2 linked regions of the Caenorhabditis elegans genome follow. The protein of the gene in region 1 purifies or fractionates together with the protein of each later gene. This does not show direct contact. Each region holds a gene or a part of one and is shown in the gene's direction. Other genes may lie near its edges.

What was found. The genes of interacting proteins can lie anywhere in the genome.
Region 2: the proteins of acer-1 (region 1) and decr-1.1 fractionate together in Caenorhabditis elegans (co-fractionation; one large-scale study listed by BioGRID). This does not show direct contact.

The regions. Positions count from the first base shown.
Region 1 is NC_003280.10:6,886,027-6,891,967, reverse strand, and holds acer-1 (Acetyl-CoA hydrolase), read left to right. Parts: upstream 1-1,567; 5' UTR 1,568-1,568; coding exon 1,569-1,878; intron 1,879-2,068; coding exon 2,069-2,308; intron 2,309-2,354; coding exon 2,355-2,549; intron 2,550-2,596; coding exon 2,597-3,267; 3' UTR 3,268-3,415; downstream 3,416-5,941. Other genes in the region: pmp-2 (Peroxisomal Membrane Protein related), read left to right, coding at 4,262-4,383, 4,863-5,084, 5,145-5,312, 5,362-5,485, 5,732-5,854, 5,901-5,941.
Region 2 is NC_003283.11:13,779,429-13,785,227, forward strand, and holds decr-1.1 (putative oxidoreductase F53C11.3), read left to right. Parts: upstream 1-2,970; 5' UTR 2,971-3,060; coding exon 3,061-3,135; intron 3,136-3,181; coding exon 3,182-3,408; intron 3,409-3,642; coding exon 3,643-4,135; intron 4,136-4,459; coding exon 4,460-4,606; 3' UTR 4,607-4,681; downstream 4,682-5,799. Other genes in the region: F53C11.4 (SH2 domain-containing protein), read right to left, coding at 5,298-5,339.

The DNA.
Region 1 (5,941 bases):
CCTCTTTTCATTTTTCCTTCCGAGTACTTTGATCACACCTATACGGTTTTACTCACATTTGTCAAGTTGGACATTTTACATATTCTGTGCCATTGCGTGAAGGTGCTTGCACTTGTTTTTTTCTCTAAACTTGTGCTGGTGTGGCGCCTGAATAGTCAGTCAGCATTTATTTTATTGAAAGAAAAATCTATGTCCAAATTTCGTTGTATTTCTATTATCATCTTGTATTTTAACATTCAATAAGAGGATTCCAATATTTGTATTTTTATTGAATAATATACAAGTTTTTTACCGTTCAAAAATTCGGTGAATATTTACTGCTCTTTCTCTATTTCTCATCTCATCATGCTCTTTTTCTCCTCTCTCTCTCTCTCTTGGTTTTCAACAAAAACACCGCCTACAGCGTTAACATCGTCACTGCGTCTTCAGCAATAGAGATTCAAATTCAACATGAAAGAAAAAGAGAACGACAGCGCCAAGACCAGCGACATGACCGCCCGTCTCTCCCAACATTCTCCCATTTTGCTTCGTTCAATAGGCCCAGCGCACTGTTCTCTGCTCAGTCACCACCACGTGCCTGACGATTGAGCGTTTTCTGTTCGATGCTTTGAGCTGTTTCGGCCGCTCCTCCCCTTCTCACAAACTTCTGACCCAGTCCCTCAGCACTCGACCACGTTGTTTTGCAGCAATCGGTTGTACCCCCAATCTGCCCTTCTCCGATTTTCCCCTGCTCTTCTTTTAGATGTCACGTAGGCTTTCAAATCAGAAACTTTTATTCATTTTTAAAACTCAGCGCCAGATTATTACTATTTTTAAGTAACTAGTTTGCCACTACCTAGACCGAATTATTTCGTTTTCGCCAATACTTAATTCGAATCAAAAAACCAATTCGGGACTGGTTTTTGATTCATTATTTTCTCTATCAATAGAAATCAAATCTACAGGAAATTGACTATTCGTGTGCAGTTTCTACTTCTTCTGCTTTAAAAATAATTGTTTAACAGCAAAGAACAAAATCATCAAAACACTTATCGACGCGGTTTTATCGACAATTGTTTGTTCTTTTCTGTTTTTCTCCTATTTCATAAAATTTATTTTTTTCCAAATGCCAAACCTCTCACAGTTTATTTACTTCATTTATCAAAAATATACCGAAAAGCGGTCAACAGTTACGAAAGTGTTGATTTTGGGAAAAAATCGAGATATTCTTTTTAATGGTAATCTAAAATTTGCATTACAATTAAGATAAATGCACACGTAGAGCTTGTTCGTCTAGTCGCCAGACATCAAAATTAAATTTTCCTGATTACTATTTTGCCAGGCAATCTTTTTGCAAACCTTTTCCAATTTTGATCCAGTACGAAAAGTGCAAGGACTCATAAACTAAGTGATTTTCAATTTTCTACTATTTTTGATTTTCGACTCCATTTTCTTCAATTTTTGTCCGCTCAGCTTTTTTCTGAACACTAAATTGATAAGACTATTCCATGATCATGCCACTTTATCATTTCTCCTGTTTCCGTCTTTATTTATTTTATTTTAACTTATTAATTTTAAATTTTTCCAGAATGCTTTCTCGGCTTACATCTCGCTCCCTCGGAACCTCGGCTGCGTGCTCAAGAACAGCTGGTATCTTCAGAGATGAAAGAGAAGTAGCATTCCCAATCGCTGGAAAGTCACCAAAGGTTGTATCGTTGGCTGAAGCAACACGCGATATCAAAAGTGGAGACAATGTATTCGTTCACGGAATCGCTGCCACACCAACCCCACTTCTTCAAAGTCTTTCGGAGCATGCTGTCGCCAACAACTTGAACAAGATTAAGCTTCATCACTTGCACTTGGAAGGAGCTACACCATGGACCGCCGAAGGAGTCAGAGGTGAGCATTTACACGAAAATGAAGATAAACGAACTTTGTTAACTAGCACGCCACTTGTTCTTCGATTTGTAATCGATTTTAAAACATTGAAAAAATAAGTAATGTTCTTTTTGTCACGTAGCTACTTTTAATACACCTAATTTATTTAAAAATATCAATTTACAACACTTATTATTAAATTATATTTCAGATAGAATCAGATCAAACTCCCTTTTCACCGGACACAATTTGAGAGCCTGCGTCAATAACGGAATCGCTGACTTCAATTCATGCTTCTTGTACGAAGTTCCACTTTTGTTCCGCAAGGGAGCCATCAAGCTCAATGCTTCCCTCATCCAGGTCTCACCACCAGATGCATTCGGATTCTGCTCTTTGGGAACTTCAGTTGATACCGCTCGTGCTGCAGTAACAAACTCTCCATTGATTATCGGTAATTTCTAAAGTTTATTTGCAAACAATTACCTCATTCTATTTAGCAATGGTCAATAAGAATATGCCACGCACATTCGGAGATGGAGTGATCCACGTTTCACACATTGACTATCTTGTCAATGAGGCTGACGGATTCGAGCTTCATCAACGTAATATTGGTCCACAAAATGACCAAGAGAAGAAGATTGGAAAGATCATTGCAGAAAATCTTGTTGATAATGGAGCTACTCTTCAAATGGGTTAGAAAACTGGTCATTATTAAACATTTTAATAATATTATTTTCAGGTATCGGAGCTGTCCCAGATGCTGCTCTTTCTGCTCTCAGCAACCACAAAGATCTTGGAATCCACACTGAAATGTTCTCAGATGGAGTTCTTGATTTGATCGAGAAAAATGCAATTACCAATGCCAAAAAAGCTATCCATCCAGGAAAACTCGTTGTATCATTCGTTTACGGATCGACCAAGCTCTACGACTACCTCAACGATAATCCATTGATCGAGTTTGGAGATGTTAACTGGGTCAATGATCCAGCTGTTGTTCGCAAAAATCCTAAAGTCACTGCCATCAACTCTGCCGTCGAGATTGATTTGACCGGACAAGTTGTGTCCGATTCAGTTGGAAAACGATTCTTGTCTGGATTTGGAGGACAAGTTGATTTTATCCGTGGAGCAGCAATTGGAAACGATGGTCTCGGAAAGCCAATTATTGCACTTCCATCAATTTCAAAGAAGGGACAGAGCAAGATTGTTCCAACAATCAACGAAGGAGCTGGAGTTGTTACTTCCCGTGCTCATGTTCACTATGTCGTTACCGAATATGGAATTGCTCAACTTTGGGGCAAGAATATGCGTCAACGTGCCTACGAATTGATCAAAATCTCTCATCCAAGTCAGCGTGAATCTCTCGACAAGGCTGCATTCGACCGCTTGAAGGTGATGCCATCCGCCGACTAAATATATTTAACATTTCTCTATTGCTTCGGGTCTCTTGTAAATCCTTCTCCCCAATTTGTAGGATGTATTTTCAATCTGATGTTATTCTTTTTATGCCTTTTGAAAATTCATTTGTATATTTTTAATAGCAATAAATGTATGAATGGTTTCTCTTTATTCCATAGAATTTTGGCATTGGTTCGAGCTGTGAGTGAGACAAACAACTTCCAAATGGAAAATGTAAAAGGAATGATAAGAAAAAGTAATAAAAACAAACCGATAAAAGACTGAAAACTCCATAGTTCGATGAGTTAGAAGCATTACATTTTTAATTATTTTTTATTTCTCAACCGAAATTTACTGAAGCGAAGTGTTTCCCAGACGCGAAAATTTGAGATTTTTGCTCCGAAATTACGGTAACCGGTCTCAAAACGACAATATTTTGTTGAATGCACATATTTATGTACGCGCCTTTAGAGATTACTGTGACTTCAAACTTCCGATTCTGCAGAAGTTTCATCATTTTTTATTTTTTTATCGATAAAATTATATTTATTTGAATAACTATAACAATAAAAACGAAATAATTTTAACAAAACACGAGAAAAACTGCAAGATCGAAAAAAAATCACCGCATCAACGAAATTACAGTACTCCTTAAAGCGTACCTTTTTGCGTTACACCCAAGAATTTCAACTTTACGATGTAAAATAGCTTTTACATAAATACCAGATCTCACATATTTTGAAATCAAATTCCAAATAGTTTTTAAAGATTCCAGGAACTTTTGGGTTTTTGAAAATGATCATCAGATATTTCTTTGCCAAAAGAAGGCTTAATATGGCTACATATAGTCCCTTTAAGACTACACTATAGCATACTGATTCTATATTTCTAAATCTCTCAATTTCACATTATCTCTCGTTATGACCTTATGGGAGGTGATAAGAAAACGATGAGATGATGAACTGAACACAGACAATTTGGTTGCCTGCGCACCTACTCGTATTCAAAAATGGCAGTTTTTTCAAAGCTTCAATTACTTGGACAAGCAATTCCTCCAAAACAATATGCACCTGGAGTGGTTGGAATGCTTGCAGTTTTTGCATTGATTAAGTTATACAAACAGGATATCAGGTAAATACATTTCTTATCAATCCAACTAAATCGATATGAATCTCTATCAAACTACAATTTGATCAGATTGGAAAGTTCATTTTTAACGATTATAAGCTTCAAAACGATCTTAATTCCGAATGCCAGATAAAATAAAAACATAGACTTATTTATTAAAAGTGATCCTATGTTTTTGGAAATCACCCCTAACATGATTTTTGTTTTTAACAACATTAAAAATTACTGGTTTCAGTGGGAACCTTTCTGAAATATTACTCAAGATGGGTCATTTGTATTTAAAGATTTTAGAGCTTTTGAAATACGACGTAAATGTATATAAAAGTCCAAATTTGTAAGAAACCTGGCAAATTGCCAAAACTGTAAGTTTTGAGAAATCAAAAATATTTCCGAGTTTTTTTTTACTAAATATCTATGTAAATTAAAAAATATCAGCCAAAAAATTCTAAAGTAAAAAGCTTGCAACAAACCCAATATTTCAGAGGAACAAAACACTTGGTTGCAAAAACGAAGAAAGATGGCTCAAAAGGGCAAAAAGCTCATGTTGATGGAGTTTTTCTGGGCAAACTGGCAAGAATTCTGAAAATTTTGATACCTGGCTTCTTTTCGAAGGAATCATTTTATCTTATTCTCATTGCAGTTTCTCTTCTTTGTCGTACTTATGCAGATGTTTACATGATTATTACATCGACAAAGATTGAAGCGTAGGTTTTTGAACTTTGAATTAAAATATAAATTATCAAGAATTCAAAGAAAGTTTTCAGTTCAATCATTGACCGTAACCCGCTTCTTTTCGCTCTTGAAGCATTCAAATACGTTCTGAATCTGCCAGCAATCTCCGTGACAAATGCTATTCTGAAATTCGGAATTGCTGAATTGAAACTTCGTTTCCGTGAAAGATTGTCCACTCATTTGTATTCACAATATCTTAAGTAAGAGTTTAAATTGATTTTTGTTCTGGAAAATTGAAAATAATTACAGAGGATTCACATTCTACAAAATGTCAAATTTGGATACTCGAATTCAGAATGCTGATCAACTTTTGACTCAAGACGTCGATAGATTCTGTGATGGAATTGTTGAATTGTACTCAAATCTTTCAAAGGTATGAAGAAAATTATTACACGGAGGATTTCTTTTCAAGAGTAATGGGAAAGTAAGCCGGCAGGGAGGCAGACATTCTGTACCGGCTTGGAAGGCTATTAACGATTCTATGTTCAGTTGGAATAAATTATAGTCACATTAAATCGGAAAAAATACAGTTATACAGTTTCATAACTGAAACACAAACGTAGTTGTATAACAAACTAGATCCAACTCCTAAATTTTTAAAATTAAAATTTAATTTCAGCCAATCCTCGACGTATTCCTGTACCTATTCCGTCTTGGAACATCACTTGGATTCTCTTCTCCATCAATTCTTTTCTCTTATCTCCTTTTCACTGGAGTTGGGCTGACTTATCTCAGACGACCAGTAAGTTTCCTGAAAATAAAATTTGTCACAAAGGTTGAAACTTCAGATTGGAAGACTTACGGTAGAAGAACAAGCTTTAGAAGGAGA
Region 2 (5,799 bases), on another chromosome or scaffold:
AAAAACTGCGCAAAAATTGTCAAAAACTCCCAGAAAACATCGCAATGTTCTAAAAATTTACCAAACTTCCTCGAACTTTTTCAAAAACTTCACAATTAATCTTTAGAAATGTTCTAAAAACTTTTTGACATTTTCAAAAGTTCCCAAAACCTTCTTGAAGATTGTTGAACTTTTTTCAAAATTCCATAATATTAAAAAAAATCATGATCAGAAGATTCCAACGTTTTTCTAGAAAATCGTCTCACTAACCTCCAATGATTTCCAGAATCATATGAGTAATTACCCCAGAGACACCAAACAGCTATTCCTGAAGCCACAACCCATCCAAAAATTGTAACACTCCAATGAAACTTCAATCGAGTTTTTGTGAACGTTGCCAGAAAGTAACCAACAAAAATTCCAATGAAAAAAGACGGAACTCTTGTCCATGGCATTTCATAGACTACTGATCGGAAGAGCTCGTGATGGCTGAAATTTTCTCCGAGTTGATAGATTGATACTGGGGGAGTGACAGACCCATTTCCAATAAAATCAGCCGGTAATTCGAATATTCCAAATAAGAAATACTCAACGAAGACACTGAGAACGCATCCACCAAATATAAGAATCACTCCGCCTGTTATAGTAAAAAATAATGTGATGAGAATAATTGGAGAAATTAAGAAAAGTTGAGTGTCAACTGCCAGAAGCCAAGTGATACGGTAGCACTGAAAGTAATCAGAAATGTTTCAATAATTAGAAATTTAGAATATAAAACCAACACTTTCATCGCCGGCAAAATTATTGATGTACAATGCGTTTTTCCACCAATTGGACTCACAAATTTCAGCTTCTTTGGTGAGAACATCTGAAGTTCAAGATATAATAAAGTTTAAAGCTGCACGGAAAATTTAGGAAAATTTTCTTACTCATTTCAGAAGCCATAAATGGACCTTGAATGAATTTTTCATAAATTGTAAAAAATCCGATAAACGTCATCAAAGCAGGCGCTGACCGCAAGTACCTATGAGCATAGTAATAAATCCATGTCCAAGGTTTCAAAATAGTCCCGTATTTTGGTTTATTCCAAAAGAATATGTAAGCCTCTGTGATTCCGGACAGAACAAATAATGTGTCTATTGAGAAATAAGAGTTCAAAACCAACTGTCTTGAAATTGACAGATTCTCAATAAAGTCCGTAGAGCTGCCAACGTTGTTGTAAGGAAATTTAAAATTATAGGTGTGAGCGAAGACAATCCAGAGAATTGTTAGAGCACGGATACAGTCTAAAGACCGAATATGATGAGGTTTGTGCTCTTTTACTGACAAAATAAGTTCTGCGTTGCTCCAAAGAGAAAATGAGAGAAAGGATCGAAGGACTGAAAATTTAAATTATCAGTTTTCCAACTCATAATATGTACCATATGCATGCTCGTTCACCGCAGACATTCCTATTTCCTTTTCTCGAAAATAATCTACAAACGTTGCAGAAACAACTAAAGAAACTATGAGTGCCATGAACACCCTGAATTATGAACTTATTAATTCATACAGATTTTTCAAAAAACTTACGAAAATGCCCAAAATGCCCATTTCTTTTCAACTTTAATACCAGATTTAAATGCTTGGCAAGTGGTCAATGGAAATGAAATAATTTGATTGAAAATCTCAACAAGATCACTTTCACTGCAAGATGAAGGCATGCAAACTGCGAATCGAGGAGTTACGTGCTCATGGGTTTTAGGATCACATGTAACATTGTCTCCGATGTAAGTAACAATATAACTGTAGCTTGTCGTGTACTTTTTTCCGCTGACTTTCTGGCATTCAGCATAAGATCCTTCGAAAAATGTATTGATGTCAAGAATATCTGGTGGTAGCTTTCCAAATGCATCAAGCTCTGAAATATGAAGAAGATATATAAACAGATACAGATTTCTAGTGAACACTCACGTTGAAGAGCAAACACATTATCTTGAACTGAAGTTAGTTCAATCAGTGTACAATTTCGAAACTTCAGACAATCCGCTGTAACCTTTGCAATTTCTTTCAGAGAATCAATGAATAATTTTGTCTCTTCAAAACATTGCCGATTCAAACTTGATGTTAGATGAAGAGGATTGGAAAGAAATGGCAGCACTCTCAAGGCGGCATCATATTGTGCATTTGAAACTAGAAATAGACAGAAAATACTAAACGATATTGAAAAGAGATTCATGAGTTCGTATTGGTCGTTTTCATTGGAAAATGACATGGATTTGTGTCAATTGATTGTTTGTGGGTGGTGTAATTTGCATATGAGATGTCATTGTGGGGAATATTTATGGAAACTAAGAACTCAGAGACCACAAACGGATTGAAACATACCGAATAAGATGGCACGGGCTGTAAAAAATACCCAGAGAAAAGGCGAGCGGCATTTGCTTTCTGCAAATACCTGAATTTCCTGTTTGTCGAGCATTTTTAAGGCAAAAAATTACAAAATCACAAAAAAAACGGCATTTCCAATTTAAAAAACGGCATTTTGTCGACATTGCCACTTGCCAAAAATTTTCAATTTTGGCAATTGCCAATTTTGCTGTTTGCCGGAAAATATTGTTTTTTTTTTCATAGGCGCAACATGACAAGACATATATATTCAACACAAATATTCAATGAAAACTTAGTTAAACTTTATACTTTTGATAAAATTGATCCAACCTTTATTGTTTTGTCTGAATTTTTGGGAATTTTTTAATTTCAGAATAATTGGAGCATGTATAAATATAAATAACACTTGTTATAACTGTGCTATAATATTTCAAAAACTGACTATAAGAACATCGAAACCCGCTGAATTTTATATTTCACGGAAAAGTTCATTTAATATCAAAATGCATTGATCAAACCATGCTTTAAAATTATTTCCTGCCCTACATTGTGTTTTCCAATGTTCTCTTGATCATGTTGCCCACATTGTGCTTTGTAACCCCCACTACATTCTAGCCTACCACCACTTCTGCGTCTCTCCATCTCTTTACCTATTTATTGATTCCAGGTCTTATTCTTCGATCACTCTTGACCATTTGTTAGTTTGAAATAATGGCTCATTGTTTGCATCCAGAAAAGTTTTTCCCTGTTGTCAAATCGGTTGCATTGCCGCCTGGCAGCTTGAATGTAAGTTATTAAAGATATTGAAATTTTTAAACGATTGTTTATTCAGGGAAAAGTTGCACTGGTCACTGGTGGAGGAACTGGACTTGGAAAGGCTATTGCAACAACATTTGCTCATCTTGGAGCAAGTGTGGCCATTGCTGCAAGAAGACTTGATGTACTTGAGAAAACTGCAGATGAGATCCGATCAAGCACCGGTGGTGTTTGTGAGCCATTCCAAATGGACGTGAAGGATCCAGCAAAGGTTGCAAAGGCGTTTGATGCGGTTGAAAAGAAGTGAGTTGCAATGGCTCGCACGTGATTCCGAAAACATAGAATAATTTCGGAGATCACTTATCTATTTTTCTCTGGGAGTACGATAGGTTAACGTAGGAACATAATGATAACTAGATTCAAGCTGTACTCTAGTGCTTACGAATATAGTGATTAAAACCTAATATCTTGTTCCAACTTTGAACTGTAGATATTTGATTTCTAACAATATTTTTTCTATTAATTTTATAATTTAAGACTCGGCCACACTCCGGACATCCTTATCAATAATGCAGCCGGAAACTTCATCATGGCAACCGAACGTCTCTCACCGAATGCCTACGGTACCATCATTGATATCGTTCTGAAAGGAACTCTCCACGTCACCACCGAGCTCGGCCGTCGCTGTATTCAACAAAAGCGTGGAGCCAGTGTGCTCAGCATCACAACACTTTATGCACAATCTGGTGCACCATTTGTGGTTCCATCAGCGGTTTCGAAGGCTGGTGTCGAAAATATGACAAAATCATTGGCGTCTGAATGGGCGAAACACGGATTGCGATTCAATGCGATTGCTCCTGGACCAATTCCAACAGAGGGAGCATTCGGAAGATTATTTGCCGGGGAGTTGAAGGATTCTGGAGATGCTATGAAAGCATCAGTACCAGTTGGAAGACTTGGGCATCCGGAAGAAATTGCCAATTTGGCAGCGTTCATGTCGTCTGATTTCATGTCCTGGATGAATGGAGCGGTACGTTTTTTAACTTTTGATTATTTTACTGCATTTCTACTACTTTCAAGGGAGGCGCATTTAGGAGAATGGGTCCTGCCGCGCGAAATGCGTCTAAAGAAAAATTTAAGTATGTGCCTTTAACTTTAAGTTACTGTAGAATTTTTAAATGTTCTCATTTATTCTAGTTTTTCTTATATTCAATTAAAAAGAAAACTTACTTATATTGTAAACTACCACTAAGAATTCGAAAGTTCCCCTCAAAACAAATACAGTAAGATTAAAGGCACACTACTCAATACTATTTGCCTAAGAAAAAACAATTTCTATTTTTTTAACTTTCAGATTATCGATTTCGACGGTGGCCAACAGCACATTCATCATGGATCCCATATGGGACAATTCCTTCACGAATGGGACAACGAGAAATGGGAGGAAACGGAGAATTTGATCCGTGGAAGAACTGGAAAAGAAAAGAAGAGCAAGCTGTAAAAATGTACTATTTCGAATTTAAGCCTAGTGTAAATTTATCATATGTGCCATAAACTTTACGAGAACTATTTTCTATTTATTTGTCAGAATCTTAAAAAAGGGAGGGCAATAATGAGAGCACATGATTTTCTCGCATTTTTACCTATGGATTAATATAAGTCCAACACGAAACTGAGGATACAAAGATTAGATGAAGAAAAATGAAAAAAAAGGGAAAAAGTGTAAACACCGAAATTTAGAAAATGGGAACAAGGCTGGTGAACTTCGAGGATAAAATAGAAGAAAATGGGTAGATGATTGGAAAAGTTCAGAAGGAATCGTTTGTACTTTTTCAGTGATCGAAACAAAACCAGCTGTGGAGATAGAGAGGAGGAAGTGAGAAGGATCCCAAGAAATATATTACAAAAGTTTGACAGAGAAAAGAAAAAAAGCGGATAAATAAAGTGTGTCAGAGCAAGAAGAAAACTATAACAGATCAACAAAGAAAACGACGAAACGAATGCTGGAAGAGCTAGACATATTTAAATAAATACAACTTTCTCTAAATGTAGAGGGGCTTACAGACGGGGGAGTTTAGAAGAAACATGCTACACTCATGAATAAAAAAGAGATAAGATGATGGAAAAGTATGAAGCTACGATTTGTTCAGCAGGAAAAATCGAATCGAATTTGTACATTTTTACAGAACTGTCTAAACAGTTTGATGACGGGCTGCTGGGCTGATGCGGCCGGTCTGAAAATTATTGAAATTGATTTTTTGGTGAGAAAAATAATCAAACCTTTGTGTGAGTATTGGGTTTTTGGGTTTGTGAGTTTTTTTTTTCTTAATTTAATATCAAAAAAAAAATTTTAAATGACTTTTCAAAAATTCCCAAAAATTGTTATGAGCTAAACTTTTAAGAAAAAGGGCTAAATTTAAAAAGTTTTAAAGCGGACATTCTAGCTGGAATTTCAAAAACTTTCACATTTGACCAAATTATCAACACATCCAAAAAAATCCGAATTTGCGCTACTTTTTGACTAAATTTTTTAATTCAGGCCATTTTGGGCTGGAAATTTTGAAATTCTGTATTTTAAGCCATTTTTCGCAGAAATAGCAAAAATGTTCCAATTTAACCAAATTATCAACTGAAATTTCCAAAAAAAGGTCAGAATTTGCTGGTATTTTTTCAATACATTTTTGGTTGGGATTA